3 linked regions of the Alligator mississippiensis genome follow. The protein of the gene in region 3 purifies or fractionates together with the protein of the main gene of each other region. This does not show direct contact. Links are inferred from orthologs where the notes say so. Each region holds a gene or a part of one and is shown on either strand. Other genes may lie near its edges.

Region 1 (7,776 bases), on a different chromosome or scaffold from region 3:
ACAGGATGTCATTGTGCCAACACAGCCAGATTAACCTATGCAGCTGCTAGCTCCACTCCAAACGTACTTGTGCTTCAATTTGTTTTAAAGCAATTAAAATGTTGCAGCAGCACTAGTGCAGCATTTGGAGGTACAGAAACAATGGAAATAACAAAGGACTGCAAAATCTCTGATACTTGACAATGAAAAAGAAAAAAAAAGGCCGTCCCTGAAACTTCCTAGGTTTTGGCAGAAAAGGAACATACTATCCCGTCGCGTGAGATTTACATTTAAAAAACAACCCGTTCAGAACTTACCTTTGTGATGCTTGACTTGATCGGTCACCTAAAACAGATCTGAAACCATTATGTTATGCACTAGGAGGTTTACACAAGGCTTAAAAGTAAAAGAATGATTACTAGAGTTCACGGGACATCACTTGTTCCTTACCTTGTTGTTTCTCCTTACTGAGAACATTTTACAGCCTCTGCCAGTCCACTGTGTTCCTTTAGGAGTATCCTTCAGCAAGGTCCCCAATGCAGCATCTGATATTTTTCCAAGTAGAGCTTTTGAGCCTCTTAACTTCAAGTTCTTTTGGTACAATCCCTGTGCCCAACAACTGGCTATACAAAAGCTCTCATTATGAACCTCAAGTCAATGGGGGTTTCCTCTGTCACGGTGCCATGCTGATCAGACTTTTGAGCCCCAGGGTGGTACTTCCAGTACAGTTTAATTGAAGCCCCAGGGAATTTCAAATACTGTACAGCAGAAAGACCGGGGGGAAAAGAAGTATTTGATTGGTAATTGGCAATAGACTGTCTGCCTGCCTGCGACCCATTCCTTCTTGATGACTGCCATCTCATTTACATATTTTTTCAAAAGCCTTTTCTCTGCCTTGTTACATAATTTGTGTTGCAAAATGCAAACAAACACTAATTATTTCCAAGTCTGGACAATCGGTTACTCGTTTCTTCTTGTTATTTGGAAGGGGATAGGAAGGACAAAGAGAAGAAGGCATTTGGACGGGCAGAAAATTAACCAGAGAGATTTGAAGTCTGATTTGGTAAGGAGAGTGTTTTGTACTTGTGTCCTGTGTAGCATGAGGAGGGATCCCACAAACATTAAAATACACGATGTCTTCTAGCACCCGAGGGAACGAATAGTATCATCCCCATTTTACAGAGGGAAAGGTCAAGGCTTACATTTCCAAAATGCCCACTAGTTTGGGGCATCCAACCTGAGACACTAGGGACCCGATTCCTCATTACCCTGCACCTTCTTCTGGGTCTTTCTCCATTCCTCATCACTGAGAAAGTGGGGCTTTTTATACCAGTGAAAAGTGAACCTAGTTTTCAGAAGCACTAAGCACATACCGGCCCCCTGGCTTCGATTCAGCTAGTCAAGCAAGGGAGAAGTGAAAGTCTCTGCAGGAAAGAGACTGTTGCCATTAATTAGAAAAGGGATGTCTGATATATTCATGTCAAAAGAGTCATTTGCAATGAAACAATAACCACAAGGCTGCACAAAGACAAGAGCAGAACTCCAGATTATTGCAATTATTGCATAGACAAGCCATTCCCCTGGCTTGTCTAGCAGTCTGCCTGTCCATCCTTAGGACGGGAGTCCCTCAGAGCAGAGGCCATCACATCTTTTATGTCTAGAAAACAACTAGCAGATCATGGTTGCTAAACCAAACACTAAATACTAAATACGGTCCTTTCAGTGGACAGAATGCTTTCATACATATTTCACATTAGAGTTCGGTCTATTCATACAGAGCTTACAAAGAAGTATTCAGTTATTAAATCAACAGTTGTAGAATTCAACAAATCAATAAGTCGTTTAAAATCATCTGTGTTGCCGTCTTGTGCTGTGGTTATAGCCATCGATGACGCATCCTGTCCGTCACAAGCTTATAACCCGTGTCAATGTGCTCTTTATACACCGTGTATAAATGGTACCTTAATATAAGTACTAATTTGTTTCCATTATCAGCGCTGAGGGGATCTTGCTTTCTCATTCACCAATATGGGCTTTTCAAGCCTTTGATTCCCTACAGTGTCCTGAAGATAACCATAGCAGGAGAGAAATGGGAGAGGAATGCAATAGGCAGGAATGCCATTACTATCCCATCACTTACCCCTTGTCCCTACCCCCAGAAAACTTACAGCTTAAAAGTCCTTTATTATTCATCCAAATTTTATTGGATCCATGGTCAAAAAGGCACATCCTACCCCACGCGTGTATTCCTGCTCCCAGAACAGAGCCACAGCCCAGTCAGCCTGCTCCTCCAGGAAAAAAAGGGAATATGTCGTTTGCCAGAAATGTCAAGGCACAAACTGTGCTGGGCCAAGGCTAAGCGATGATTTCCACTGTCAACAATTTACCTTGCCATCCCCTCCTCCTTTCAAACTAGGGACATCTGCAAGCAGAAGCGGCCCCCTCTCGCCCTGGCCATCACCGGTCCTAGGGTAGGGCAAAGAGGCGTTTCGATGCCTCCACGTTAAACGTTGGGTCTTGTTCACAACTCAGATCACTTGAAAGGGGCTGAGGGTTACTAGAGAACCCAAACCCCAGTGTGATTTTGGTGAGCTGGAAGTGAGATTCAGGGTCTGGCTCTATGGCAAGGCAGCGTTGCTGTTAGGGCACGGCACCGATCTGCAGCTCCGATCTATCCTATCCCACGCTCGACTTCAGCCTCGATGGGGGACCCCCGGCAGCGCGCTCGTCGTGCCTCCGTTTCCAGTGGGGTGATACAGTGCCCAAATGTCAATGGGAAACTTGTCTTGGAAATTAGGCTGTATGCCTTTTTCTGATTGGCTGAGTGAACAATGGCCTCTGTCACATGGTCACAGACAAGTCAGCTGTAAAAACAACTGAGGCTCTTGCTTGGGGAGGCAGACGCCATGGGAGATGTCTAAGGAGGAGGTAGTTTTTCCCAGGCCCAGGAGCTATAGGTAACCTTCCCTGCGAGTCAGAAGACCAAGGCCTGCTCTGCGCGATTCAGGGCCAAAGTAACTCGGGGCAGGTTAACCGATCCATTTTTTTTTTTTTAGTTTTGAATGATGCTTTCTCTTTCTCTCTCTCTTTCTTCAGCAAATCTGTTTCCAATTCAGCCTCATCTCCCCTTCTGTTCTGGACTCCCACCCTAGGTCCTATTCGTGAGGTCAAAACCTTATGAATGGAAAGAAACTGGCTGAGCTTTTGTAAGGAAAAGGTCATTAAGGTTTACTATGAGGGCTAAGCTCCCTCTAAAACACCCTAGACGCAGAGCTTTTTCTTTTTGGTCATCTTACTTTCTTTCTTATTTCTTTACCCAGAGCCGAAGTAATACCGTAGACGTTCACATCATATCAAATCTAGATGCTGCCTCTCCTAGGGCAGTGTTTCTCAACCTTTTAAGTAGCAAGTACCCCCTAACTTCTGAAAATTTCAATAAGTACCCCAACATGGGGATTTTATAATGGACATTAGTTGGACTTCTTCCAACTAATGTGTGCCATATGTGGGAAGAAGGGCTGTGTATATAAGGCCATGATATGACAGAAGTCTGATCTGGTGTGGGTAGGGTTGCCAACTTTTACACCAGGGTTGCACAACTCAAGTATGGACTTGGGCTAGAGGTGATGTTGGCCAAAGCTAGGAGGGCTGAACACAAAATTATTACTGGGGAATTTATTTTTTTTTAATTGCACCAATTTTTTTGCCATAGATTTAAGGGTGAGAGAGAGAGGAAAAGAGGGCAAGAGAGATTGTGTCGGGGTACCCACATACCCCCTGCCTGTGTCTCACATACTCCCAGTGGTACACGTACCACAGGTTGAGAAACTATGTCCTAGGGGACTAGATGCTGCGTCTGCCTGGGGCACAGACCGAACGAGCCGAAAGATTTATTCCACGTCCTGCAACAGGGATCCTACAAAGTTTGCCTAGCAGAGCTCAGGGAGACAGAAATGAAAGGGAGATGGAGGGATTTCGAACTCCCTCTTGTGGTCTCCCAGGAAGGCACTCTGCCTCGCATGGAGGCGTCTGTTTAAGGCTTTACCTGCTCATTTGTGTCTTCAGGAAGCAATCATGATCAGCTAAGGAGGGAAGAAAATCTATGGCAATAGAAAGGAAGGAGAGGAAAGGGCCAGATCCAACATTTGACAGTTCATAAATTGCCTAGAGGCAGCTTTGTTATTAAAACCAAGCAGGTGAAATATCCCTCGTCCCCTAACAGCCTCAAGCAGCTACAGAAAAGAGTCCTGCCTGCTAGACAAAGCATATTCAAACTCATTTGAGCCAGAGGAAAGAGTAGGGCAAAACTATCTTCCACCTCCCCGGGTCATCTGGACGCTACGTTTCTTGATTGAAGCTGTTGTGGGAAGGAGCCGAGACAGTAACTGGACAATGCCGCTCCCTGTTGGTTCCCACTCTCCTGCTTTGCATGGAGAAAAAAAAATTGGCCGAGCCCTTGTCTGGGGTTGGTTATTGGGACTGGCAGTTTCAGTTTCATTTTTCTCTTGTCAGATTAAAGAAGTGAAAAAGAAAGAGGGGCAGAGCCCGAGAGCAGCCATGGAAGACGAGAGCAAGTTCTGCCCAAACTGGTAAGAAATCCCTACTTTTTGCCAAGTGCCAGTGATACCCGAGGGGCACAGGGGCTTTGCTGATCTCCTTTTCGGGGTGGGTATTGCACGCTTCTCTCCCTGAACAGAGAAAGCCAAGGGGAGGCCAAGGAAACAAATCGGAACAGCTGATTGCTTTGTGTTGCCCTTTAACATCTAAGGATTTTGAAGACAATTTCTTTTCCCTGACTGACGGCTAGATCCCCCAGGCAAGATCAAGCAGTGCTTCTCTGCTGCCTGCTGTGTCCCTTGCCCTGCTGCTTAGGACCTAAAAGATTCGGCAGAGAGGGGCAGCTTGGGTCAGCAGTGCTGCGTGTCCAGCACCCAGGACAAGCGGCTTCAAAGAGGGGAAAGAGAGCTCCATAATTATGGACTAACCTGCCCACCGGGGAGGTGTGCCCTAAAAAGGCGGGGGCTGCATCGGGGTCAGCAAAACGCGGGCCAGATGCGGCCCGCCAGGCCACTCTATCCAGCCTGCAGGGCCTCTAAAAAGTTTAAAAAATTTATATTTATCTGCCCTGGCTGCCTGTCATGCGGCCCTCGATGGCTTGCCAAAACTCAGTAAGCAGCCCTCCGCCCGAAATAATTGCCCACCCCTGGGCTACATGCAGTCTGTTATTCCCATCAGTGATGAAGCTGTGGGTGTTTTCCTGCAGTCTGGAACACAACCCAGTACGAACTCGGTCCCTGGCTCAGTTTCCCCTTATGTCCAATGGTTCTTTCTGGTGTCAAGGCAACTTAGCTCTCCAGCTATAAGCCAAAAAGGTCACTATTGTGGGGAGCAAATTGTCCGTCCCTCTGTTCTCCCTTTAATATCTGGGGTCCCTTCACAAAGCAATAGCTTAAAGAAACTAGCACCCAGCCTCTACTATAGACCTCCAGCCCTGGAGCCACTGAATACTGTCTGCGTTATCTCTGGAACGCTGCGAATCCAGATGTTGCTGGTCCCCTCTGATCATAGGGCACAATCCTGCTTTCCCACCAGTGTAACTCTGTTGGAGTTATTCCTGATTTGCACTGATGTAAAAGCACTCTCTCATTTTGGACCCACATCACCTGACGGGGCCCCTGTTCCCTTAAAGATGTCCTCAGCAAAAGAGTAAAGCCTCCATAACAGAGCTGAGTCTTGGAAGGCTTCATTTGAACAAGACACAAGTATAAAATACCTGATGTCAGTTTTCTGGGATCGGCCAGGTGAATCGTATCCAATCCCATAATATTCTTTCCCTTTCCGTGTCACACAGTAAACAAGATGTGTCTGCTGCCAATTTCTCTCTGCACGAGATCCACTGCCGACGGTTCCTCACTGTCTGCCCAGACTGCAAAGAGGCTGTTGTTCAAAAGGAAATGCGAGAGCATCAGGCAAATGCACACAAGCAAGTGAGAGCTCTTCACCTTCCAACAAGGACTCGGACTGTCAGTTCCTGCAGTTAGGAGATGCACGGAAATCATGCCGGGCTGTGCTGCTGCATGGCGAACAGCCACGAGCATCTGTATTTGTTGAGGAGAAGATGGGTCAGGGCCCGATGCAACACTATAGCTCTGTCCACAGCCCCCTTCTCCCCAAAGGGCAACTGTGCGCTCAAGTCAAGGGACTCCGTCAGAGAACCTGCTCTTTTGTATTTAAGTTAATCTCCAATAAACACAGGGAATAATCAGCTGGTAGCATGATTAACTCCTGCCCGAACAGGAAAATCCTACACATTGCTCAGTTCCTATAGGAACAAGGTTCCCTATTTGCTTTCCAAAGATGGAAATAGCAGGGAGTCCATCTTGGACGATTTCACCTACAGAGGTAGCAGGTTCATTAGATAACTTGAAATATTCTCTATAAGCTGTCAGGTATTTTCCTTTAAGTATGCTACTATTCTGTCACCCTTTTCATTCAGGTCAGGTGTAAGCTTTGTCACCAAAGCCTGCAGCAATACCAGCTGGAGAACCATGAGGTGAGTCCATTGCTCTGTGCGCGAGACCAGAATCCAACCTGGCTGATCTCTCTTAGAGACACCACAAAGAGATGTCTGCAAATTAGTGCCTTCCCCAACATGGAACAACCCAGAGTCAGCAATCTTAATATAGTGCCATTTGACCCAGGGTTTAATGTAATCCATCTTTTTATATTAAAACAAATGTATGCCCTGGTCATCAGACTGTCCCTCCACACCTCTTCCCACCCCATTTCTGCAGGGAGTTTCTTAGAGAGGACCTTTCACTTCATCGCTTCTGTGGAGTTCACCTTCACATGAAGTGCGACTGTAGGCATACCTGTGGCAGCTTTTATCTAGCTACTGTAACACCACCAACGACCATATGGCATCACTGGCTTCAGGTTGTGTAGTAGCCAAAGTGCATCCTCTAGGTTTCTGGTGGGCTTGTACTCTTGGTTGCTAGCCCAGGCCAAGGCCACTGCTTCTTCACTTCTAGTTTTACCTGCGTTCACTAAATATAAACCTAATACACTATGCCTACCTGCACCACACACCTGCGTTTTGGTATGTAGACACGGTCTTAGTGGAGGACATTCTTAAAACCAAGTTAGGCCTGTTGTGTGGGGGGGGGTTTCCACTCCTGGTGTAACACTTGCGACTGTTCACTTGCAGACCATGGAATGCAGCGAACGAGTTATGAAATGCAAGTTCTGCGAGCTAGAAATGCCCTCTGCTAAGCTGCAGGAGCACCTCGATTCCTGCGGTAGTCGAACTGAGAAGTGTTTCGGCTGTAACAAATACATCATGTACAAGGACCTGGACCAGCACAAAGACATCTGTCGTAGTGGTGATGGGCTCTCAAATCATGGTGAGATTCACTCTCAAATTAATAATGTGACTCCTCTAGAAACCTTGGTTCTTCTAAGCGCAGGTAGCCCAAATTCCTTGTCATCACCCACAGCATCACGTTACTACAGTATCCGTTAATCACATGGAAAATTCCCCACCTACACTCTCCGAGTCCCAGTAATGCAGGTTGCCTTGTGTAATGTGGCCCCTGCCACACATTACATATATTATACAATTAACTGTGGTTAATCGCACAATACATTTAGACTGGTCACTTGTGCAAAGTAAGAGCAGCCACAGGTGCAGGGTAATTATGCCATAAAAATCTCCATCCAGCTGTAAAAAAGAGCCAACCAGCTACAAAGCTAGTGCTTGAAAATGTGTAACAAGTTTATAGCTGGCATCTATCCAGC
Region 2 (8,138 bases), on a different chromosome or scaffold from region 3:
GGAGGGAGAAAGGGAGTGAGACTGGGACTAAGGAAGGGATGGGAGGAGGGGTGCTGCTCCCAGGGCTGTACAAAACAGCAAAGCAGAGGGAGCAGAGCAGCACTCACCCCAGCTCCAGCAGCCCCGGGAGCAGCCGGCACCAGCAGCCTGCAGCCGCTGGGCTGCACCATGCTTCACCTGTCGCCTTGCACCTGGGCTCCGCTTGTCCCCATTCACCTCTGCTCCTGAGCTGCATTGTGCCCTGATGCAGGCAGCTGGTGTTGGTTGCTCCTGGGGCCACTCCAGCCCATGCTGGAGTGAGTGTGGACAAGCGGAGCCCCAGGCAGTGCGGGGCACAGCACTCACCCCAGCCCGTGCTGGAGCAGCCCCAGGAGCAGCCAACTCCAGCTGCCTGCACCAGGGCACGGCGCAACCTAGGAGCAGAGGTGAGTGAGGACAGGCGGAGGAGCATGGTGCAGCCCAGTGGCTGCAGACAGCTGGCACCAGGTGCTCCCGGGACTACTGCAGCTGGGACTGGGGTGAGTGGGGCCACGGCCCTTTCCCACTCCTCCCTCACAGACTTACCTGCTTGGGCGGCGGGGTGTCTATGCTGATCACATAAGTGCAAATTTACCTTGAATATAATGAATTATGGGTCTAAATATGCTCATTGCATGAGTGAATTTGCATATAAAGAACCCGCATAGATTGAGGGAAACCTGTACTCACAAACTGGGATGTTTGAAGTCTGCATCAGGAGATGTATGGTTTGTGCCTGAATTTGCAAATTAATAATTTATTAATAATAATAATAATTAATAATGTAATAATTTAATAATTATTAATTTGCCAATTAGAAATTGAAAACACTGAAGAAAAAAATAAAATTCAGTTTTTGCTTTGTTTGGAGAGTAAGAAAGCTTTTCACCAGCCATTTGTTCATGTTAAATGTTTCTTGGAAGAAGAGTACAACTAAGATGGTCGGATTCTCCTTTCTTACTGGGTTTTCTTTCACAATCGCATTTTCAAAGAAAAACGAAAATGTTCACATTCTCATTTACTACTGGTAGGTTAGATTTTTCCCGAAGCATAATAGCATAATACAGGGCATATCTACACATGCATTTAAGCACAAATAAATTTAATGAGCATTAAGCTAAGATGCATTAAGGAATTTTTTTACGTGTATCTACATATGCAGGGACTGGGCACTAAAGCTAGTGCCCAGTCCCTGCAGCCCTGTCTTGTGCCCCTAGTGGCTGGGCAGACCCAGCACTAAAGTTAGTGTTGGGTCACGTCTACACATGTATTAATGCGCTTTAACTAGTCACACCTATATTTGATACCTGCATTTGCAGGTATCAAATTTGTGTGATTAGCCTAATTTCACCATTTTAATGCACATTAAGGGCATACATGTGTAGACACATGATCATAACGTGCATTAACTTAAGCTAACAGAGGCTAAATTAGGCTAACAGAGTCTCATCAGCAGAAATTGTCAGCATTACATTTCATGAATGTTAGATGCTGGCAAGCTCAGCCAGATCAGAACAGTCTTCCTTTATATTTCCAAATCACCAATGGATCTCCCTCAAGGCTTATTTCTGTGAGATTAATAAACACTACTGGACTGTTCTACTGGGTAAAGAGTAAAAAAAACTAGCAGATGAGCCAGCTTTTTCCTTATAGGATACCAAATCATGTTGATGCACATGAGACAGAATTATTTTGCCTTTCCACTAACAAAAAAAAAAAGCCCAAGCAGCAGCAGATGTTGTTAAGGATTAGGCTTGTGAAGCAATTAAGGAAGAGATGTTGCCACCTGAGGCAGACTCTAATGGCTGCAACAGAAGACTTCTGAGTTTGCCCTGCAGTGAGGTGATGGCAGCATGTTGCAAAAGTAATCATAACAGAACATCTTGACAGTGTCATGTGTCAGCCCTCAGGGAAACTGCCCTCCTTTTTACCCTTAAATGAAAGATCCAGCAGTGCAGTTATAGTACACGCCGACCCCTTTTAAACCTATTTCTTCTTCTCAGATAAAGTTTTAGAGTGTTATTCTTCACAAGCAAAAGAGCACTCTCAACTTTGTCTTCAAATTTTTTCTTGAAATCATATATAGTATCTAATTTGTAAAGACTTAGCTCAAGTTCACCCTTGCTAGTCACCTGGTCACCTTCATAAAGCACAGAGATGTTCTGATAGAAATGCTCAAAACTGCAAGGTGCTGAACACAGTCCATCTACCTAGGATTTCACGGGTTTGTGCTACCATTAGGCACTTAACCACTGGCAGGCCTGAGACCTTTTTCTGCCTTTTCAGGTCATTTAATTGAGATCCTATTCCACCTTGCTTGGGCTCCTTAAAAACCATTAGTACTGATATACATTTTATCACGTGCCTTCATCCAAGATGTAGGATGACATGGCATAAAGCAGGGCAACCCACATACAGGCAGTCCTCGACTTACAACATTTCGAGTTACAACGTTTCGCACTTACAACGGTTATAAATTGACACCCTGTTTCAACTTTATGACGTCAGTTTCGTTTTTTCAATGGTTGATCTGATACGCCACGCCAGCAAACAAGTCGGCTGCGCTGCTCATCTCCCTGGAGAACATCTGTCCAAACTTCCTTAGACACTTTGTTTAAGAAAGGAGACAAGACTCCAGAAAAACCTACAGCCTAGACTCCTGAGAAGACTCCAGCCAAGAACCCTTCAACAAGTCCAACCAAGAGCCCTTCAAAAAGTCCAGCAAAGTCACCTCAAAGTCCTTCCAAATCAATGAGATTGCTATTTACAATATAAATACATTAATGTATACTATTCATCTATAATTGATCGAGTACAAAATTCTGGGGTATTTTTGCTGAAAACAGAATCTGGCCTTGGTTCAGGAACCAATCCCCCATTTATAACATTGTTTCTTATGAGAAAATCGGTTCCAAGTTACAATGTTTCGACTTAAAATGCGTTTTTCAGGAACCCATTGTGTCGTAAATCCAAGGACTACCTGTATATTTGTGTTCAGTTTTGCAAGCTGGGTGGAATACAACTGCACATAGATGCCAAAGTGCCACAGCTGCCTAATTAGGTGGCAAGGGAGTGCATGAGGTGCTCCAGGGTGAACGTGGGAGCCATAGACACAGCCTCTGCATTGCTGGGACCTTAAATGCTGGAGGCAGCAAACGGGAGAGGAACAGGGGAAACCCCCCTGCTCAGTCCCTGCTCACTGTCCCCTTCCAGCATCTGCCCTCTGCTATGGCAGGGCCCTGCTAGGCCTTCGAATGAAAGCTGGACGTAGGGTTGCCAGCTCTGTTTAAATCTATTCTGGGAGATTTCATTACATGACATAATGACTTTGCACCAGAAGGCAAGTACACATTACTATTACATTTAAAAAACCCACTGGACTACTATATAAATTGGATTCGACATTTCATGTTTATTTTAATGGATGGCCTATCATTTATCTCCCAGGTGACTTTCAGCAGTATCCCAGAGCTTTATATCTAATTCCTGGAGGCTCCCAGGCAATCCTGGAGGGCTGGTAACCCTAGCCGGACGGAAACCAGCGCCAGACTGGTGCTGGTGATCACTACACATCTTCAAGCACTAACTTAATGGCAGCTTGGCTCTCTGTACGGCTGGAGAGCCACTTTTATGGCACAAGGACTACGTTGCACATGTAGCCAGCCTGCATTTATGGCCCCAAGAACGCAATCAGTAGCAGCCTCAGGGGAGGGCAAACTGGGCAACCACCCAGCACCCCACACTTTGTAAAAATTAATTCCACTGAATATTTGTATTATCCATATCGCATTGGGATATTTGTAATTAATAAAAGATAATATCTGTATTATCCATATCTGTAATTAATATTTGCATTATCCATACTGTCATGGAGTTATTTGTAATTAATATATTTGTATTGTCCATATCGAATTGAGTTATTTGTAATTAATATATTTGTATTGTCCATATTGTATTTATTTGTAATTAATATATTTGTATTGTCCATATTGTATTTATTTGTAATTAATACAAGATAATATTTGTATTATCCATACCATATTGAGATATTTGTAATCAGTATAATATGTGTATTATCCATCTCGTATTTATTTGTAACAGAAGATAATATTTGTATTATCCATATCGTATTGAGATACCTGTAATTAATATTTGTATTATCCATAGTGCATTGAGATATTTGTAATTAATAGAAGATATTTGTATCATCTGTATCGTATTGAGATATTTGTCATTAACACAAGATCACATTTGTGTTACCCATACCGTATTCTCCACACTGTAATCACTGTCACTGCAGGGCGGGGTGACATTGAAATCGAAAATCATCATCAAAATGAGGGCGCTCAGGGCCCCGGGCGAGCACCGCACCGCACCGCACCGCACCGCAGCCGCCCGCTCCAGCGGGCCGGGCTCCGCCCACGACTCCTGAGGGGAAAGCTCCGCCCCCAAGCTCCAACCCCGCCCTGTCCGCGCCAGGGCGGCCCCACAGCTTCCGTAGGCGGCTAGGCCCCGCCCCCCGCGCGGATTGGCCGGCGGAGCGGTGACGTAGCGCGGGGCGGTGCGCGCGCGGCAGCGATGCCGAAGCGCCGCTGCCCCTTCGCGGAGGCGGCCGCGCCGCAGCGCAAGACGCGCGTGGGGCTGCGCGAGATGAGCCGCGGGGTCGCGGGCGACACGTACCGGCGCCAGGTCTACGGTGAGGCCCGGGGTCGGGGCCGGGGGGGAGGTCCGCGCGTGCCGCCCGCCCGCCCGCCTGGCCCCGCTCACCGTGCCTGTGTGTGTGTGTGTGTGTCCCTCCCCGCCCCCTCCCCGCAGAGCGGACGCGGCAGCTGCTGTTCCGCGGCGCCCAGGCCTGCCCCGAGCGCGCCGCCCGCCCGGACCCGCCGCCGCCGCCGCACCCGGCTCTGCTGGACCCGACGGGCGAGCCCGAGAGCGCGGGACAGATGCTGCTGGGCCCCGACGGGAGGCTGCTGCGCCGCCCGGCCCGCGACCGCGGTGAGTGACCCGGACCCGGAGCCGCGCTCCTGCGAGAGGCGGGACCCGGCATCCCGCCTCCCCCCTGGGCGTGGGGCTGCCTTGGAGGGAGCCCCATCAATAACATGGCGGAGAAAGAAGTGGGGCTGGGCGGGAGCTGAGGCAGGGACCTGGGTTTTCCGGAAAACCTTAAATTGGAAATTTTCCTAAGTAGAGCCGGATCTGATTTAGCACCTTTATTTGCTTTGCGTTTAATAAACAAAGCTAAAACAGGACCCCCCCCATGTTAATTTTATGCCTGGATAGCCACAAGTATTTGAACTCAGAGATTTGATTAGGGGGGGAAAATTAAAAACAGCACAGTTAATGTAGGTTTTGTTTGTGTTTGAATATGTATGTGCGTGTGTATTCAAACAGGTGTTAATGCTTATGTGGAAAGAAGTTATTATTTTTATTGGAATAGTTATAAAGCCAGTACACAACAGCATGTACATCCTGTATATTGTTTTTTTCCCCCTTTAATTTAAACAAAGGCGCTGAAAACTGCTGACACGCTTACGAGGTGTCAGCGCTTTGTGATGGTTTCAAGCTTGTTTTTAGAATCATAAAATTATGAGGGGAAAAATGCAGCTGTATCAGGTCGAGACGATCTACTCGTATGTGATGTGCAAGTGCCTGGCTGAGATGTTCAGGGCAGGTGTATAGTTTTTACGTCTTTAAAACTCCTTGAAACATAGAAACTATAGTTACGTTGGTACGCTGCTTCTGACACTAGTTCTAGCACACCCGCAGAACTGTGCACGACGTGCCGTGCTTTGGCTTTGATTTAACTTGCACAGCCAATTAGGTGAATTCATAACTTTGATTTTTGGTTTGGATGATTCAGAGTGTGTGTTCACCCTCCCGTTTACAAATTGGTAAAACATATATGTGCTCTCTCCCACACTTCCTAGGGATAATCACCTAAAAAACATTAATTGCATCTTTGAAACTGCCAAGCTTGCATAATCTTGTTTTGGCATCCATTGATTGTTACTAATGAATTTTATGAAACGATGAATTTTTAGAAATGGAAAATTTCCCCTGGAAAAATAAAGCACCGGAAAATTTTCCACCCCACATTTCTGTCCCCAGCCAAACCACCCTGTACCAATCCATCATCAAATCTTCATAAACCTTCTGTCAGCCCTGATGCGACACAGATCAAACAGCTTGGCCTGCACAGGTAAAGTGGGGGAGCTGCAGCAGCCAACATCCTGCTCCTGTGAAATGTTATCAATAGACGCTTAAGAGGTCCCAGGTAGGGCCATGTCCCTGCTGCAAAGGGAGGCAAAATTCCCTCTGAGAGCCCTCCCTGTCCTGCCCCTGGGGTGGTGTCTGTGCAGGGCTTCACTGGCCAGCACCAAGCTGATGCTGTCAGAGAGGCCACACAGCTCTTATTTTTAGGTGGAACTTGATGGGTTTGACGTCAAGTTTTGCCCTGTCAGAATTAGCAGTTAGGATGGGGGCCAGGGCTGCTGTGCAGGGCTGCTGGGGGCTGGCGCTGCTGCCATCCTCTGCTTCACAACTAGGATTCCCTATTGCTCTGCACCATGTGGGTGCCCCAAGCTGCAAGCTACCACACACTGCACCATGTCACCCTGTGCCCTAGGCGTGAAGCAGAAGCCAGAAGAGAAGAAAGCCTGGAGATGCTGCTGCTGCTGCAGCTGGAGCATCAGAGGGCAGAGCAACCAGGTGGGACTATGGAGGCTGCAAATTAATAACTTCTTATGGGTTGCATGCTGCCCCCAGGCTGCCAGTTGGACAGCCCTGAGTTAGGATTAGCTGGTGAAATTGGGATACCAAACGGATAAGTAGACTGGGTGTTGCTGCCACAAAATAGTTTGTCTTTCTTCATTTAATCTTAAAAACATGGGATGCATCTAGTGCCTGGAATGGTAGATGTTAGCTATCACATTTTCAGTTTTGTGCTTACTTAACTATAATAATATTGACTGCAGGTAAATAGGTTCCTATGGATTTTGGAGGGCTCTAGATGTTATTTGTTCAAATTTTCTGTTCTGGCGTTAATAATAATAATAAAGTATTGTTTTTGTCTCCCAAATAGCCCCACCCATGGGAGTTTCCAAAGCCTGCTCCTCGTGCATACGGACCGTAGACATCAAAGAAGTTTGCACGCAGTGTGATCACTTGATATGTCAGCATTGCAGCAAACTCTGCAGTTGCTGTAACACTGTCATTTGTTCCATGTGTTGCACCATCGAGTAAGTGCTTCGTGATGGTTTCAAGCTTGCTTTTAGAATCATAATTTTATAAGGGGGAAAAATGCAGCTGCATCAGATTGAGACAGTCTGCTCGTATATGATGTGTAAGTGCCTGACTGAGATGTTCAGGGCAGCACCCTCCCCCCCACTCCCAGAGCATGTGTATAAATGCCTGATGGGAGCCTGGTAATTTCTGTGGGGTTCTCTTGCTTTCAGTAGCTGTTGAAGAGAGAAGGGAATCCTTTTCTTTTTAAATACTGTACAAGAAATAGGGGATGCTCAGCTGACTTCTTTTTTTCTTCTAGTTACAGTGATGTTGGTGATCAAGTTCTCTGCAGTGGTTGCTCAATGTTTGAAGTCTAAATTTTAATGATCTGCCAGTACCTCTTTGCGACTAAGATGTCTCTATAAATTCTATGAAGAATCATCTTTTTATAGCTGAATAACTAGCACTTCTAGTGGATGGAGTTAACAATGAGGTTGATGTGTATTGTATGTTTATATTGTATTTTTATACCATAGCTAAATAAACTTTTTTTATATTTTGATGAGACTTTTGAAGTATTGCCTTGGTTATTTTAGCTAAACTACAGTTAACCTCAAAGGCCGTTTTAGGCTTCCTTGTCCCAGACCAGTGATTCTCAACCAGGTGCCATGAGATCCTGCCATGCTAATTCCCCAGCTCCTACAAGGAGGTAAGCATAGTAAGAGACATTAATCGTATGAATTGAGTGGCTTCCAATTTATGAGAGTTATGGAGAGAAGCCTCAGGTCCAAGGAGGCTGAGAACCATTGCTCTGGACTGACATGCTTTTTGAGAGGCAATGATTTTTTTTTCCAGTACTGCAACAAATGCAGACTACACATCCAGTGCTTCGAATT
Region 3 (8,923 bases):
GGTATACTGATAAAATAACTCATTTCCTTAACAAGCACTGATTTCAATGAGAACTCACTTACAACTTTTACCGGCTGTGCAGCAGGTGGCTAACTTACTCAGCAAAAAGTAAAGTAGAAATGGTGCTTCACAGAAGAGGATTTAGAGCAGGGGTAGGCAACAGGGCTGTGCGAAACACCACCATCTCGTTTCGACTTCCGTTTTGAAGGCACAGTGTTTTGTTTTGTCATTTCATTTTGAAGCACTGTCTCATTTCGTTTTGTCAAAATGGTTTCAATATTTTGCCCATAGGCTATAATGGGAATCATGAAAATGCCTAAAGTGTTGTCTTTCTTGCCTGATTTAGATGCAAATTGCAGGGATGCTAGCCCCTTCTGAGGGCATGAAGCCTGCCAAGTTTCAAAGAGATGGGTGCAGAGGTTTCTCGGAAACTGCACCTCAAAGTTTTGAAAGCAAAATTTGCCAGCTGTGGGGCTGTGCTGGACTCCTCCTGGGGGTGCAGGCCCCTGGATCTGTGCTGGATGATAGGAGGCTGCTGCTGCCACCTGGGACCAGCGCTGGGAGCAGTCCATGCCCAGCGGCAGGCTCCATAGAGCTCAGCCTGGTGGCAGGAGGTGGAGTGCAGCCCCAGCTCTGCCCACTTTCTGCCGCTGGGCTGAGCTCTGAATGGCTCCGCAGCCCCATGGAGCTCAGCCTGGTGGTGGGAGGCAGAGTGCAGCCCCAGCTCTGCCTGCCTCCTGCCCCGGGCTGAGCTCCATGGGGCCATGGAACTGCTTGGAGCGCAGCCCGGCAGCGGGAGGTGGACAGAGCTGGCACTGCACTCCGATCAGCTCCGTGGGCCCCACAGGGTCTAGCCCGTGGCAGGAGGTGGGGAGAGCCAGGGCTGCGCTCCGCGCTGGGCTGAGCTACATGGGGCTGCAGAGCCGCTTGGAGTGCAGCCCTGGCTCTCCCCTGCCTCTCACCACCGGGCTGGTTCAACACACTTCGAAATGTTTCAAGTGCCCTCATTTCATTTCAAAGCTGTTTTGATGCTTTGTTTCATTTTGATTTTGCTGTTTCGAGCTTGAAATGTGTCGAAACAGCTTCGGAACAAAACAGTGAAATTTTGCACAAGCCTAGCAGGCAACTATTTTGGCTGGAGGGCTGCTTAATGAGTTTTAGTGAGCTGTTGAGGGCCACAAGGGTAACCCTGCCACATGACAGGTGCCCTGCGCCGTGGTCACCGTCTTGGGACCAAAAATCCTGCACCTTGGTATGAGTTTTAATGTAAAGTAAAAAAAAAAATCATGTGGCAAATGTCTTTCCTAGCCCCAAAGGCATTCTTGACCACATCACTACGCTGCTAGGATGTAGGTCGCCAACAGTCTTTACACTGCAGTGTTTTGTTAAGCTGTCTCTAAATTGAGGGAAATGACATGACATCAGCTCACAAATTCTCTCTCACAACCCTAAAGACTTAGAAACTTGCAGGTATTTAAAAAACAAGTAAAAAACAAAAAAAAAAACCCACTCCTCACTAGAAGCAGCAGCATATTGCTTCAAACCAGCTCTGTAGCACCTATATAGGTCAGGCACTTCAGTGGGGCATTTTTTGCTAACAGATTCAATCAGCTATTAGATAAAAGCACCAAAAAAGCCCCACTAAACCACCCAATTTTTACAGACCTCAGGCAAGCCAGGTCCACCTCCTCTGGGTTTACACAGGGCTTGGCACAGGAATGCACCAAGTTTAAAGTAAAGCACTAGGTTTTTCCCCCCACAATGTCTGCAAGCAGCCCTGATTTCTTTTAAGTGATGTTAAATTCTACAGAAATTAATGGATGACCAGAATTCTCTAAGGAATGTTTCTTCTACCCTATCAGTAAATCAAATGAAGGATTTTTCCAGCCATGATTTCAAAGAGGAAAAGTCATTGTCCACTTTTTTTAGGGGGGGGTAGAAAGTGAAGTAAGGGGAAGAACCAGAAGGCAGTTCAGATGATTCAGTTTTCCTTTTACCTTCCTACCAGTGCATCTCAGAGGCAACGCTTCTGAGAGATAAAGGTAACATTTTTAGAGGAAAAAAAAAAAAAATCTCTGTTTTATTTCTTCCTCAGCTGACCTAAACTCTCATCCATTCTTGTTTACTCATCCCATTACTTTGTCCTACTCTCATCCACCACGGATGTGCTATCAATAAATAGAAAAACAGCACTTTTAGCATCTAATGTTACCAGAATTACCCATGAACTCTACTGAAAGAGCTTTCCAAGCCACCCAACAGGAAAAAATTGCACGCTGGTAAAGAGCCCTTTTAAATAACGCCCATTTTTATGCTTTCTGACATCAATGAGATACCACATTAGCCTCACAGTACTTGCGATGGACCTGGTTTTGGAGCGCACTAATGACCGTTCTTTCTGCCACAGAGAAAATTTCTCCCACCTTTGCTTACGGAAGCCAAGGAAAGATGTGCAGAACTTCCTGAACCAGTTCTGGCCTGCGGCTCTTTTCATCAGCTTGGCTCCCATGCCATGTATATAGCTTCTAGCACGTGAACGGTTGCACGATCCTTGCACAACACCAAACAAGGTTACATCCACAAGCATAGGTAGGTAAGGAAGAAAGCAGGACACTTAAAAAATGCAAAATGAGCTTAGTTTAGCAAGCTCATACAAACAAGACAGGCCAAGACAAGCACGAGCACCCAGCAAACAAGGAAGAGAAACAGAGAAAGCTAACCAGGTCCCATCACTTTAGAGAAAACCCCAAAAGACAGTTTTGTATCGACATCAATCATGATAGGCTTAAGGAAGCAGGAAGGCATCTCTCTGATGTGGTTGATCTTCATAACACGTTTGGTTTTTCTCACAATAGGTGAACTTGGCCAAATTTGGACCCCCGCAGGAGCACCGCTTCCTGCATGAAGTCAACAGCCCTGTTGTGTTCAAGGCATTACAATAAATATTGTGACCTGCTGAAGCACCACGGCTGGGATTAGACATCCGCTCTGCGCCACAGGGTCTGCATCTTGTATGACGGCGGCGAGGTAGAAGCAGCCCCTTGTGCAAGATGTCTCACATGTCAGACTCCCCCTCCCCCCAATAAAAACAAAACAGACAAGAAAAATAAAGACCCACCAAAAGGACAGCTAACACATCTGAACACGCCTGCCTTTTTAGGGAACGAACATCAGCACTTCTAGTAAAAATGATGTTTAGCAGTTCTAGGATGCTGTATATCACCGAAATCATACCCACGATGAAATGTGAATGTCCTTTAAAGACCGAGTTGCATGCAAACAGTTGAAAACTACCTTGCAATGCATCCACCACAAAGCATCAGCACGACAGACCACCACTGAATAAAAAATAAATAAATAAACAACATAAAAATCACATTATTAAATACGTAGGGAGGAAGATCAGAGAAGAGACCGATCCAGCGCACAACCGCACGAGCAACAGGACCTTGCAAAGGAGTTTCTCAGCGCTGGCAAACCAACAGGAGATGGTTTCTAATTAACGATGGGCGAAGAAGGGGAACGGCGAGAGAGGAACGGGAATCTGCGTGACGGCGTGCGTGCGTCTGCGCACTTCAGAGGATGCGCAAAGATCATTTTAGGGCACCAAGAGTTCTCGATTTTTGCCTTTCTTTGGGTCTCAAACCAACGCGGCTACCACGTACATCCCCGAACCGGAGTGCGAGTCTCAAATGAAAGCAGTATCGTCTCTCTCGCATCAGGCCTTCGAGATCACAGGAGACCCGAACAAATGTGGAAAGTGATTTCTTTGCGCAGGAGGCGGCAGGGCACGCTGGAAACATTTGCGGGGTGGGAAAGAAAGAAAGAAAACCTTATTTTGGACGAGGAAATCCCTAATTCAGCTCTTCTCGAGTAATCCTCACCGGGAAGAGACTGGCGGCGTGGCCGGGAGAGGCGAGGGCGACCCGAGGGGCCGTCTTCGATGGGGACAAGGGGCGGTGGCGATGAAAGTTGGAGGAGCTTTCCCACGCGAGACACGCTTCTGCGAAAGTCTCGTCTTTGACAGGGCCGCGGGGGCCCGGCCCACACCAGTGCCGTGCCCCCGGGGAGCCGGCAAACCAGCCCCGGCCTCTCGCAGCCCGGCCCCGGCGGAGCCCGCAGCACCGGCCCCGGGCGGGGGAGGCCGGGCTGCCGCCCCGGAAGGGCCCCGCACCCGCACCCGCACCCCACCCCCAGCGCGGGGGACCCGGCACCCGCCGGCGGCACGACACGGCTGGAGAGGCCGCCCGCGACCCGCGACCCTCCCCCCGGAGCAGCCGGCCGGGCCGGGCCGGGGCCGCTCCCCTCACGCTGCCCCGCCGCACTTACCGCCCGCAGCACCAGCACCAGCACCAGCACCGGCTCCGGCGCGGCCGCCGAGAAGATGGCGGCGCCCAGCCCCTCCGCCCTCCTCGTAGGCGAGCGCGCAGCGCCCCCTGCCGGCCCCGCGCCTCTCCTTACACACGGGTGTGCGCGTGCGTGCGCGTGTGTATGGATTTGTGCGTGTGTGTGCGCGTATATCTGTCTATGGATACGCATGTGTGTGATGTGTGTAGGTGTAATAGATACATACCTATATACACACACATACCACATCCATATGCACATATACACACACACAAACATGTCACTATCTATTTATAGATCTATCTATACCTAGACCACTATATAGATAGATCTATCTATACACGTATACCTATATATCTATACCTATGTAAGTATAGGATAGATAGCTTTATATCTCTATATCTATCTATCTATAGATAGATAGATATAGAGATATAAAGAGATACTGTAACCATATAGATAGATAGATAGATAGATAGATAGATAAAGATATATATACACATAAAGCTATCGATCTATCTATATGGTTACAGTAACTATATAGTTCTTTAACTCAGGACACAGAGAAACCTCCATATACAGTTACTATATAGTGACATATGTTTGTGTGTAAATGTGCGTGTACAGGTACCTGTACAGGTTTTCCTCACTTTTATGCGGGTTCTGTATATGCAAACTCACTCTCATGCGATGACCTTTTTTATACCAAAAATGTGTTACATGCAAGGTAAATTCACTCTTATATCAGCAATCAGTGCAGTGGAAGCCCGCAGTCAGCTGCTTTTTGCGTTGTGGGAGTGGCGGATGCCAAAATATAGTCTCTTGTGTTGCTCTGTGCTTCTCGCTCGTTGCCCGCAACACGTGTTTCTGCAGCTGCCATCCCCATTATGATAGTGCCCTGTGCTTGTGTGTACTATCTGCTGTTGGTGAGTACCAAAATTGTCTTGCAAAAGTGGTAGAAATGGGTCTGGAGGTCAGTACACTCAAGGTCTTGGAACGTACCCTATTTGTTACATTGTAAAGTGGGATCCCTTTATGCGAATTTGAGTTTTGTGCCATTTTCCAGGAACACATGTACAGCATAAAGCAAGGGAAACCTGTATATGGATATGCATGTATATATTACTTGGTATATATGTTCCCATTAGATACACACACACTTTTTTTTTTTTTAATCTATATATAGCTATAGCTATCCATCTATGGGGGTGTAGATATACGAGTACCTGTATGTGTATACATACACAGTTACATATAATGTGGGAGTTCTGGTTGTGCTAGGCTATATGTATGCTAACTGTTGTAAGTTGTACTGCTTTTTGGCACCATAAGAGAAAAGGGGCCTCATGACTGCTGGATGACCATGGCAGGCTCATGCTTGCAGTGCCACCACTGGCATGCCCTGCCCACCTGAGCACTGCCCCAAGGCCTATTTTCCTGCCACAACTTAATGTTGTTTGAGATTAGTTGCAGGTGCTGCTCAGTGCTTTCCTCTGGCCCCTGGTGGCTCAGCCAGTAGGTCTTCTGTTGGGCTCCACCACCCCGACACCTCACCCCTTTCCACTCAGGTGGTCCACTCTGGTCTTGGCGATGTCTGGGATGGGTCGCTGGCATTGCCCATTCTCCTGGCACAGCTGCCTACACGGTCCCCTGTGGGAGCGTGGTGAGGCCTTCTTGGCCGACAAACGCACAACTTAATAATGAAACTAAAAGTGCACACATGGTGCAGGCAGGCAGGGCATTGTTGGTGCCTGCACCTAACACTCCAGTGCTCTGTGTTCAGCAAGGCAGACTTCACTTGGCCTCCTCTGGCTTTCCCTTTGTGGGTGTTCCCCAGGCAAGCTGGGATCCTAGGCCTGCTGACACCTGTCACGGGATGGGGTCACCAGGGATGGCCGTGATACCCCTATGGCTCCCTGACCATGCCAATCCTGCCCAATGGGCACCTTTTCTTGCCTGCCACATCTTCATGTAACTTTATGAAATAGGGAAGCTGCCCTCAAATTTGTTTGGACATGGTCTCGATGGACCCTACTGAACCCGGTGGGTTCTTGGACGCTTTTTGGGTCCCGCTCCAAAAGGGATGTCTCAGGACACCCTCAGCTTCATGGGCTACATGCATGGCTCCAAACCATCCCTTTACCATGCCCCAAGCCTCACAGATGGCATTCACACAGTGTCCCTCCAAGGCCTTAGTTTCACTTGGCGTCTGGTCAGCACTGGGCTCTCCGCAGCCTTGTCTCCTTCTCTCCACACCCCTCGGTGCTAGGATCCATGCACCCCAGATACTGCGCCCACACTGGCGCTGGGGTCCCCACACTGTAGTGGGTCCCCAATGAGACCTCCTCCTTCCCCAATAGCCTCAGCCCAGTCTACTGGCCTTACAAACAGAAATCAAAATACAAGCCCCTGGGCTATAACATAATTCAAGCAGCTCAGGGTGTGCTCTGTCCCTTGAAAAGAACCACTCTTCCCCAGCACTACAGGCCTTGTAGGCCAGGGTATCTGGTGAGCTCCCAAAGTCCCTTAATCTTACCAGAAGCAAAAAGACAGTCAGGCCTCTTCCCTTAACTTTTTCTAGAAGAGCTCCTTCCCCCTTGACTACTGGCAAAGAACTGACTCTCTGGTCTCAGCCCTGGGGTTTATATGAGCCCAGGGCCCTGCCTCTTCCAGTCAGCTGACCAGGTGCAGGTGCAGGCTAATTTGCTCGTTAGCCTGTTGCCATGGTAACCTACACCTGTGGGCTTCTGGCTGGCTCTTTGGGCTCTCTCCCCAAGCAGTTTCTGGTCTTAGAGGAGCAGGCACCTTAGTGCCCTGTGACAGCACCCGGCCATTTACCCCAGTACTTCAGGCTATGTCCTCTCACGCTCTCAAGGATCCTCTGTGACCTCTGCTTCCCTACCAGTGGATTTTGGGTCTGTACCCACTCAAACGCAGTGGCTATAAGGATCCCAGGTGGATTTTCTTCCCCATCAGGCTCTACCAGTCCTTCTCGGGCTGGCCTCTCATCCCAGCTGCCCATTTGTGCCACAGGTTGGTGAGCCCTACATGACAAAATCAAGATTCAGTTCCCAAAGTTTGGGTATTGTACAATACAGTGCCTTCATTTCTAACAAGTGTGACTACAGGGATTAAAATATTTTTTAGAAAGCAAAAAAAAAGCACTACATCTGTGGTGAGAGCAGTCAGGCTGACTCTGATTCCCAAACAGCTTGGCCCACTTCTATTTCAGAGTTTGAAACAGAACAGGGAAGCAGTGAGTAGTTCACTGGACCAAGATTAATGGTCTCTCTGGTTACTTAGCAGTAAAAACAATCATGTCACTTGAAAATACTTCCCTTTGCAGATGGACTGGTACAATATTGGTAGATTAGCTATAGCAAGTAATTAGATTGCAAAAGATTGTGCTAGGAAATGTGAAACTATGTCCCAACATTTGTCTAGGTGTAGAAAAAAGATGATACTTGGCTGGACCCATCCTTTAATTTAAAATTGATTGTGTTCAGTTCTTATGAAAATCAATTGAATTACCTGCATATAATCAAAAACAGAATTTACCCCACTGGCCTATGTATAAATTTGCACTGTTTTTTCCAGACTTATGTTAACACGTTCTTTCTCTTTTTTGCAGAAAACCTATTATCTCTATGTTATTGCCTTTTATTGATTAGAGGGCTGTTCCATTTGTCCTTAGGTTAGTTTGCTGCCAAGCATTTGTCCTGTATTTGCGTTTTGTCCCTGAATGGAAGTTTCTCTGTATCCCAAATTAAAGAACTTTTAATCCACATGAGGCAATACCTACTCCATTCTACATATGAGTCTACGTATATAGTGGGCAAAATGCTTCCTCAGTGGAGCACTGGCTATTCAGCATGCCATACAGCAGTGGTTCCCAATCTTTTTTATACTGTGGACTGTCACAGGAGTGGGACAGGGCACATGGAGCCAGCTGCCTCCCACCTGGGGCTGCCCCACTGCCCAGCACATGACTGCTGGCAGCGGAAACTGCTCACCTGGGCTGGCAGCCGGAGGTCCAAGTGGGGGGCTCGTGCCATGACTTGGCAGCTAGTTAGGAACCTCTGCCATACAACACCATGAAGACAGCACCGACTTTTACCTGTTATATTCTGGGTTGTGAGAGAAGCGAGTGTATAAGAGTGGAGAGTTTTGTAGCACAAGAGAGACTTGGCACATCACAGTAGCTATCACATGCCAGGTTGGAAGTCCATCTGTTTCTTCCACCCCAGATCAGGGGAATAATTGATCTTAGGCACTTTTTTACCCACTGCAATTTATTTAAGCTTACTGCAAGGAACATATTTAGGCTCAAAACAAAAACATATGGAAAGCTGTTGAAGAATTCATATGCTGTGGGTAAAGGGTCTTTGGCTGGGAATTGTTTAGGACAGCAGGTGTGCTTAGTTGTGTGTAGGTGGAGAATCGGATAACACATGGACAGAGAGGCAAGGAAGTGTCAGTAAGTCTGAACAGCATGTGCACAGCTCTGAGAGAAGTGTGGGCGTTTGGGGCAGGGGTTCTGGCTGAAAGAGCTCTGGAGCTGTGTATAGGGAAACAA

What was found. The genes of interacting proteins can lie anywhere in the genome.
Region 1: the proteins of XIAP (region 3) and XAF1 purify together in Homo sapiens (affinity purification with western blotting; 5 studies listed by BioGRID). This does not show direct contact. The link is inferred for Alligator mississippiensis from reciprocal best matches to the Homo sapiens genes XIAP and XAF1.
Region 2: the proteins of XIAP (region 3) and SIVA1 purify together in Homo sapiens (affinity purification with western blotting; 3 studies listed by BioGRID). This does not show direct contact. The link is inferred for Alligator mississippiensis from reciprocal best matches to the Homo sapiens genes XIAP and SIVA1.

The regions. Positions count from the first base shown.
Region 1 is NC_081837.1:9,464,692-9,472,467, forward strand, and holds the start of XAF1 (XIAP-associated factor 1), read left to right. Parts: upstream 1-4,198; 5' UTR 4,199-4,371; coding exon 4,372-4,568; intron 4,569-5,830; coding exon 5,831-5,966; intron 5,967-6,475; coding exon 6,476-6,532; intron 6,533-7,186; coding exon 7,187-7,382; intron 7,383-7,776. UniProt on the Homo sapiens protein: Seems to function as a negative regulator of members of the IAP (inhibitor of apoptosis protein) family. Inhibits anti-caspase activity of BIRC4. Induces cleavage and inactivation of BIRC4 independent of caspase activation.
Region 2 is NC_081825.1:288,974,417-288,982,554, forward strand, and holds SIVA1 (apoptosis regulatory protein Siva), read left to right. Parts: upstream 1-4,560; 5' UTR 4,561-4,596; coding exon 4,597-4,714; intron 4,715-4,833; coding exon 4,834-5,013; intron 5,014-6,126; coding exon 6,127-6,217; intron 6,218-6,643; coding exon 6,644-6,726; intron 6,727-7,099; coding exon 7,100-7,256; intron 7,257-7,561; coding exon 7,562-7,619; 3' UTR 7,620-7,809; downstream 7,810-8,138. UniProt on the Homo sapiens protein: Induces CD27-mediated apoptosis. Inhibits BCL2L1 isoform Bcl-x(L) anti-apoptotic activity. Inhibits activation of NF-kappa-B and promotes T-cell receptor-mediated apoptosis.
Region 3 is NC_081831.1:71,243,251-71,252,173, forward strand, and holds the start of XIAP (E3 ubiquitin-protein ligase XIAP), read right to left. Parts: upstream 3,336-8,923; 5' UTR 3,321-3,335; coding exon 3,295-3,320; intron 1-3,294.